2 linked regions of the Rattus norvegicus genome follow. The protein of the gene in region 1 purifies or fractionates together with the protein of each later gene. This does not show direct contact. Links are inferred from orthologs where the notes say so. Each region holds a gene or a part of one and is shown on either strand. Other genes may lie near its edges. The genes, in order: Sh2d1a and Cd84.

The links.
Region 2: the proteins of Sh2d1a (region 1) and Cd84 purify together in Homo sapiens (affinity purification with western blotting; 4 studies listed by BioGRID and IntAct, with this or other methods). This does not show direct contact. The link is inferred for Rattus norvegicus from reciprocal best matches to the Homo sapiens genes SH2D1A and CD84.

Annotation. Positions count from the first base shown.
Region 1 is NC_086039.1:126,237,809-126,242,298, forward strand, and holds the start of Sh2d1a (SH2 domain-containing protein 1A), read left to right. Parts: upstream 1-1,391; 5' UTR 1,392-1,607; coding exon 1,608-1,744; intron 1,745-4,490.
Region 2 is NC_086031.1:86,890,779-86,894,924, reverse strand, and holds the end of Cd84 (SLAM family member 5 isoform 3 precursor), read right to left. Parts: intron 4,001-4,146; coding exon 3,884-4,000; coding exon of another isoform or gene 3,859-3,883; intron 3,049-3,858; coding exon 2,954-3,048; intron 2,032-2,953; coding exon 1,969-2,031; intron 1,449-1,968; coding exon 1,383-1,448; 3' UTR 607-1,382; downstream 1-606. UniProt on the Homo sapiens protein: Self-ligand receptor of the signaling lymphocytic activation molecule (SLAM) family.

The sequences.
Region 1 (4,490 bases):
CGTCAGATCCAGGTTTCTCTGTTCCTATGTTTGTAGATGATTTGTACAGAGTTGTTCAGAGACCAAAAAGAAAATGGTTAGGTTTTGTTTTAAACCTATGTGACACTCAATGTTCTAGCAGTTACACTATAGGTGGGGTGCTGTCCATATGACTCAATAAAAGAGGATCCCCTTTTTCTTTTCATATTTAAAATGCCTCATTGTAATTGATTTCAAAAGTATTAGCTTTGTTTCCAATAGAGTCCTGGTTAGGTGAACCTCTGATGTTTTTAACATGGATGTAGGTAGGCATTTATGTATGAGAATAGAAGTTACAACACAGTTATCAACCCCTGTGCAGTGACGCAAAGTGGATTTTATATTCACAATGATTCTGGCCTAGCCCCATACACCAAAGGGTGCATAGAAGGTCACATACAACAAACTGGACAGAAAACTCCCACAAGCCAGCAGCCCTATAGGAAGAACTACAGGCAGCTGAGTAAAACCGGGTGTAGTGGTCACCGTAGGGAAGGGCATACTAATTGCTCATCCAGTACCAGATGGCTAGCCCTGAAAACGTACATACAAATAGCATTAGACAGATACAACTGTATCTGTGTAACGTGCTCAGGAATTATATGAACATGCATATATGCATGTGATAACGATGCTGAAGGAGAACAGGGTTCGTTCGATGGTGAAAAGGGTGAAAAGGGAAAGAAGAAATGCTTGGATTTTAATAACGATGATGATGATGATGATAACGCGCCAATAGAAGGATTTGCTCTTTTTAAGCCCTTCAGTTATCTGCAATATTTTGTAATACCATGACAATTTTTTTGTGTGTGTGACTAAACTGATACTTTTGGATCTTGGAAAAAAAACATTAAGGTAAAAAATCTTTGCTTGGGCCTAAGTGTATTCAAGGATTTGGCATACGGCTTAGAGGTAGAAAACTTCATCTGGGAGGTCCCGGACTCTGTCATCATTGAAGAAAAGAGAGTTTTTTCAGGAACATCTAGTCCCAAAGTGCACAGTTCAATAGTACTTGGGAATGCTGTGGAAGCTTCAGAGCCAGACTCTGGTTTTGTAGTTGGGCTGTTTTTATGCTTTTGTTTTGTCAGGCCGTTTCTGCCCCTCATGATGACAAGTACCATTTACCTCTATCAGCCATTCTTTTGTTCACCAGTTCAGCCAAGTCATTGCCGAGGGCTTCACAGGTTGCAGGAACCACACAAGAAAAGCCCTATCAAGCTTCTCATCTTTGTGCAAGCTCTGTCTGCATTGCTGGCACAGCTCAAATGCTGCAAGTGTTCACTTTTCCAGTGTGCCCCTCCCCCACCACGAACTCTGTGTTGGAGACTAGGGTGATCAAACCCATGACAAGTTTGAACCTGTTAAACTGCTGAGCTGGCCTTAATTGAAGTGTGAGAAGAGGTTTTAAGGCAGGTAGACAACATCCTGTTGTTAGGGTGCTCATTTCTCTCTCTCTTTTTTTTCATACTGGCTGCCCTGGGAGTCAGGTGGCTGATTGTGCCCAGCAAGCCACTGCAGCAGCAACAGCAGCAGCGCAAAGTCTTCCTCTTACCATCGTCCTTCTGAGCCCATCAAAGAGTTTGCTAGGCATGGATGCGGTGACTGTGTACCACGGCAAAATCAGCAGGGAGATGGGGGAGAAGCTCTTACTCGCTACGGGGCTGGATGGAAGCTATCTGCTGCGAGACAGCGAGAGTGTCCCTGGCGTGTACTGCCTGTGTGTTTTGTGAGTACATCTTGTGGTCATGGCAGGCTTATAGCATGTGTATCCTGCCCTTTCAGGGGAGGTCCGGGGGGGAGTGGCAGGGGAGGGGGTTACAACTCTTGGCAAAGGAACAGAGGGAATACAGGCAGCAGGAACTGAGTACTCTTCCAGTTCTTACTGGCCCAGGACTCTGCCCAGGGGTGTGGCAGGCAGTACTTGGATGTATGTCCCTCCCTGGGGATTTATCTACTGCATTTCCCCAGTTCGGTTGTGGCAGCTTCACTGAATAGCCTTCAGAATGGGAAAACATGGCCTAGAATTTACCTTTACTTTGAGAAAGGCCCATATTCTAGACTTCGGCTCTGGAGCTCTGGGATGTTGGACTATTTTGTCTTCTGGGCCACGAATTAAGGCAAAGGAAAAGCTTTCTCTATCAATCTCTACAAGTGTGATTGAAAATGGTACCCCAAAAGAAAAGCATCTAACAAATGCTCGGAGAAGTGGCCAACCAGGAAATGGAATTCATTATTTTCGGAATGCCCCTCAGGGAAGGCAGAGGCAGACAGATGTGTGTGAGTTACAGGTAGCTACCCTGGTTAACACAGCCGGTTCCATGCCCACCAGGGCTACACAGTGTACGACCCTAATGAACAACAACAAAGAACACTAAAGCAGCACAGCTCTGGAGAGGAAGTGTGTGAAAGAGCAGAGGTGCCTTTCTCGTGATGCTGTTACCTTGCTTATAAGAGGCGGAATGAGTTTAAAAACGTGGTGTGTCCCGTAAAAGATAGGACTGACAATAAATAGTTTTAAAGAGCACAGAAAGAAAACATCATTCTTCTGACCCCACTTTGACCTTTGCCTAGACTGTTCTCAGCCTCTTGCCCCATTTTGAACCAGGTGCAGCTGCATCCTGGCTCCCAACCTCCCCGAGCGAACCCTACCGTAGTTGGACTCTAAAGCTTGTTCTCTCCGAAAATCAGTCTCTTAGCCCTTGATTTTAAATGGGTTTCATATTCCAAGGGATGATGAAGATGATGCCTCCATGTATTAGAAAAGAAAAAGTAAATGCTGGGCTTTGATACTCAACAGATATGTCTGGTTTATTATTGGTCTCTTTTTGGACAAATTATTTCAGTACTTCTTGAGGAAGTCTCCAGAAGGACCCAGTTTAGGCACTACTGTAAGCAGGGTATTCACACACACACACACACACACACACACACACACACACACACACACACACAGCCTCATTCTAGTACAGTACAGTCTACCTAAAAGCAAAAACAAAACAGTGCTTGGTAGTGAGTTCTGTACATGATGATACACTGCAAAAATTTGAAGTAGTTTCTGGGCCAGAAAATAAAGATTAAATTGAGGCTGGTGTGAAAGGATTGTCATTGTATATTGATTTTTTAAAAATGGCCAAGCCTTACTTTTGGCAGTTTGCAGATCATGCCAAATACATTCATCATAAAGGCTTCAAGGTAAATATATGGAAAAATAATTTTTCAGTGTTGGGGAGAGAATCCAAGAATCCAAGATTTTACATGAGCCTCCAAAATGCTTTTTTTTTTTTTTTTACTAAGCTAGACACCCAGCCCTGGGCTTGGACCTTCATGTTCCTAAGTGGATCCCTAAGAAGAGCTGGGAAAGCCAATGACACTCCTTAGGGTATTTTTTTCTTGTGAAAAGATGAAGGATGGTGAGTGAAACAGGTTGCTTTGGACACACTGATAATAGAGGTAGCATGCTCCTTAACCAAAAGGAAAAGATAAAAGTTCAAATGCAGCCTATGTAGGGGAGAGGGCTGGAGACAGTGTACCTCAGATTTGTGCTTTTCATAGCACCCGATCACCTCTGTTAGGTAACTAAGCCTGCTTCCTTCTCAGGATTTTACACCTGTATTCGACATTACATCTCCTGATCATTAACGAACCTAAGTGGCCTCTCTGGGCTGCTACCCGATTACCTTTATTCAAGGAACTTTAAACTTACTAACATTAGCTTGTTTACTTATATGTGGGGTCTACCACAAACTACCTTCATGAAGGAGCAAACATGGTCTCCAGTACCAGGAGCATATCCTGGTACATAATAGGCACTCAGCACACAATTTGGAATTAGATGAACTGTTCAGCCATATTGTACTCTTCATTAGCAAGAGCATCGGGCTAAGAGGCCAGGGTGGGGGCTCTAGGAAGTCACTCAAGTTCTCTGGGGCTTCACCTTACATCTGCGTAAAATAGAAACCGGTTGTTATAAAACATGGTTGTAAGTGAAATCTTGAAGAAAAGAAACCTTGGTGTTTGGGCACATAGGCCGGAACCATGTAAGGAAATTCTCAGCCTTCTGGTTTTCACTGACAGGGGATGCTGTATAAATGTAAGGTGTTTGCTTGTTTCTTTTGTTTTTTGTTTTTGGTTTTTTTTTTTTTTTTTTTGCTTGCTGTTGACCAATTTCATTTTGAAAACCTTTTCCTATAGACGTGGTGAATTCTCTACCTTGAGTCTCTAGCCCTGTTTATGGGTTTTCACAGTTATGGCCAGAAAACTGTGGAGGAAAGAGACAAGAAAAATAAGAGGAATGTTTTCCTCGCCTTTGATAAGTGCTTCAGGTTTTGTTTGTTTTTAGTTGAGTGTCCCCTTGGAGATACACAAACATTTTGTTCTCTCTCACTGGCACTACATGGTATGTGCAACATGTTATTTGGAACATAACGTACTTCCTAACTCAAAATACTGAATTGTAGGATGAAGAGTAGAAA
Region 2 (4,146 bases), on another chromosome or scaffold:
TCTGTCTCTGTACCAATACCATGCAGTTTTTATCACTATTGCTCTGTAATACTGCTTGAGTTCAGGGATAGTGATTCCCCCTGAAGTCCTTTTATTGTTGAGGATAGTTTTAGCTATCCTGGGTTTTCTGTTATTCCAGATGAATTTGCAAATTGTTCTGTCTAACTCTTTGAAGAATTGGATTGGTATTTTGATGGGGATTACATTGAATCTGTAGATCGCTTTTGGTAGAATGGCCATTTTTACTATATTAATCCTGCCAATCCATGAGCATGGGAGATCTTTCCATCTTCTGAGGTCTTCTTCAATTTCTTTCTTCAGAGTCTTGAAGTTCTTATTGTACAGATCTTTTACTTGTTTGGTTAAAGTCACACCGAGGTATTTTATATTATTTGGGACTATTATGAAGGGTGTCGTTTCCCTAATTTATTTCTCGGCTTGTTTCTGTTTTGTGTAGAGGAAGGCTACTGATTTATTTGAGTTAATTTTATACCCAGCCACTTTGCTGAAGTTGTTTATCAGCTTTAGTAGTTCTCTGGTGGAACTTTTGGGATCACTTAAATATACTATCATATCATCTGCAAATAGTGATATTTTGACCTCTTCTTTTCCGATCTGTATCCCCTTGACCTCCTTTTGTTGTGTGATTGCTCTGGCTAGAACTTCAAGAACTATATTGAATAAGTAGGGAGAGAGTGGGCAGCCTTGTCTAGTCCCTGATTTTAGTGGGATCTGCACGATGGTTCTTGAGTGGAGGAATGAATGTGTAGCCTACACTAGGTTGGCTATGCCATGCTTTCAAGTAAGGGATAACATATACCTTAAAGATGCCATTCCTAAATTACTTAAGGCATTGTAGCGACTGGTGGAGGCCTTGCCTCAGGGCTCCTTACACAGGTTGACTCTGCATAGAAGATCCAGCTGGTATGCCGTGGTGTGTTACAGGTATTCACAATATTGACTGATTTCTTCCCACAGCTGTTGGACAGTGATGTTACATATTGACAGGAGAATCTTCCATCCATATTCAGTCTTCTAGAGACATGGATGATTTCATCCTTTGTGCCAAAAAAATCAATTTTTATATGCCCGGCGAAGTGAAAGAGTTTGTGAGGTGCCATTTCAGGGAGTGTGTCTTATTGTTCTCATAGGAAGGATTTGACGAGTTAGGGAAAGTGTCCACAAGCCTAACAAGGAATACAAAGGTTGTTGAGTACAAGGAATGCCCAACAACAGAAGGTTTCCTGCTCTGCTTGCATGCTGGAATGTGGTATTTGCAATGTTCTGGTAAGGGGGTAGCCAGAGAAGGCCTAGGTCTTCGGGACCCCTGTTCTCACAGTGGTTGTAACTCAGTTTCCAGAGGGAGAACACTGCCCGCTCACCTAGACAACAATTTCATTACACAAAGTCTTGGGTGGTCTTTCGTCCTTCATGTTGGTTTTCCCCGTCTGTGTAAGAGAAGAAATATGAAAGACATGTTAACTGAAAGGTGCAATTGGAGGCGAGTTAGGAAAATGGCACAGGCTGATGTCCTGTGCTTGGGGACATGTGAGGCAGAAAGGCCATTTCTTTTGAGAAGTCCTTTACCTCTGCTCCAGCACCCTTATTTGGGAGCCCCAGGGTACTTCTTAGCCCGGAAGAGATAAGTAGAAAGGAATAAGGATGTTCGAAATTGGTTTTGATTGTTAGACTTCAAGCAACATCCAGGACGCAGTATTTGTTCATAGTTCAGTCTTAGTTCTTTCTGTTTCCCAACAATTCCATTCTCATCTCCACACAGAGTCAAATGACTGCTGGGGACGAGTCACTACCAGATTATGTCTCACATAATCTAGTACTCAGGATCCTGTGGACAACTTTCCCATTGGCTCGAGGAGATTTGGGTTTTCAATTAAATACTGATGGATGGGGTACAGAAGGTGGGTAGAACACACGGGAAAAGAGATAAAAAGGCCACACAGGATTTACCTTCTCATAAAGCTGCACCGAGGAATAAATGGTGGTCACGGGCTCTTCCGTACGGGACAGCATCTGGAAAAGAGATTCTCTTCAGCGAGAATGCAGGAGACAAACCCTACGAATCTCTCTTTCTAAACCCAGTCTCTCCATCACCCGCTTCCTGACACAACTTTACTGTGTAGCCTTCTTTGCAGGCATCTGCTCTTGTTCTCTCCAACTCTGGATTAGGTTAAGGTAACGATAAAGATAAATGGGTGACAGCTGGACATAGCCTTGCAGCAAAAGGCCTCTAGGAGCAAGGAGGAGGGCTCTACGTAGTTTAGACTGAGTCTCGCTCCGCCTGGAGTTTAGTTTTGTGCGAGTTAATCTGACTCTAACAGCATCCCCATCAATTCCAGTACAGTGTCAGAGTAACTGGAAAACCCAAGTGTCTCCCTTCAGTCCTTGCAGACCCAGGGAAGCAGGCTTGTGTAGACACGGAAGATGGTATTTAGTGGGTGTCAACCAGGGGAAAGCAGACAAGAAGCAGAAGGTGTGGGCCAGAGTGGTTCAGAGTCTGAGAAGAGGAGCTGCTGCTGGACCAGCTAGTGTAGTTCAGGGCTGTCCTCAGAACAGCCTTAGCAATGATTTTGCCCTGTTGGTGATCCCATGGCACCCCTCAACTCACAATAAGGACTCTTTTATTGTCTCATCCCTCCAGGGAGCTCTTCTTAGACACAAACCACTTCTAACCCACAGCTAGGCCTTCATGTGACGCTCGGGGCTTTATACCATGGACACTGTTGTAAGGAGACAATATACTATCTTTTTCTTTTTTTCATGAGGATCATTTTCTTAGCGTGGTGTTTCTTTGTTGGTCTATCCAAATTCTTGGCTGTAGCTTCTATACAGTGTATACATTCCATACAATGGCAAAGAGAAGGCAGGTGTTGCCCAAGACTCCTATTCTAGTGGTCCTAGTAATAGGGTGCATTTATGAATAGCATCAGCTTACCGTGGACTGTGGGATTTCATCATAGATTCTGGACTCTGTGAGATGGGCATTTCTTGAAACTGCAGAGTATATTATTTTCTTTGAGACATCATCTGCTACAAATAAACACAGAACCATAGTCTGTGAAGGGTAGATGGGTTTTTAGAGGCTGCCTAGTCATTTTATTTTTCTGTAATAAAAAAAAATCTGCAGGTTAAATGGCTCCCACCCTATGGAAAAGGATGTTCGGATCCTCAGATGTTCTTTCCATCCCAAGAATTACACGTGCGGTAGGGCACAGCTTACTCAAATCTCACCTAAAGCACATTGGGAATTCTTTTTTATGCCTGAGGCTCAGTTTAGCCTAAAGAGAATCTTCCTAGGCCCTGTATGAAATTCAAAGATAGCTCTGGCATTGACGACCTTGCATGGTTAGTAGACTTTTCATGTCAGGGCCTCGGTTGTTTAATTTGATTTATTCTAATTATACTTGGTGATTTCTTATCCTGGTGCATAACTGACTATAACCACAAGCATTCATGAAGCAGTAAAGTATTTATTAAGCTTCTACTCCTTAATGCCAGACTCCATAGGAGGCTACAGAAAAACAAAGAAAGGGTTTATAGATCTTTGCTTTAAAATTTTTTGAGCTACATGAGGTATTAATCTCAACACATTCTTTTTCTTTAGTATTAACACAATGTTTTAGGGTCAGGTTGAAAAGCCAGAATTTTGCGCCTTCTTATTATATAGGACACAAAAACATCTACACACAATGGATCTAATCCAAGATTATCATAGACTTCAGCATTTCTGAGCTTGTCTTGTCTAAGTCTTGCCACCAAAGTTCCCAAAATGATACTCTTCTCCCCAGTCTGGGTAAATAAATAACCTTACTTCTTAGAAGAAAGGAGACACATTCTCACATTTTACCTTCCAGGACAATCCTACCTCTCCTTCTCTTGTACAAATGGAACAGAAGTGCCACCACTGGAATGAGCATAAGCAGAGAGAGCGCGGCCAGCCCCCCTGGCAACACACCATGGTAAGGATGGAAGCTGGGAGAGTCTGGAAATAGAAACTGTAGTGAGCGTTGGCTATCAGGAGACAGGCCCACGGTTCTGTGCAGGTTTGGACTCACTCAGAGCCACTGTCAAAATGGGATGCCCTTGCGAGAGGGCCAAAGCTCTTCAATTTACTATCAGAATCCAAGA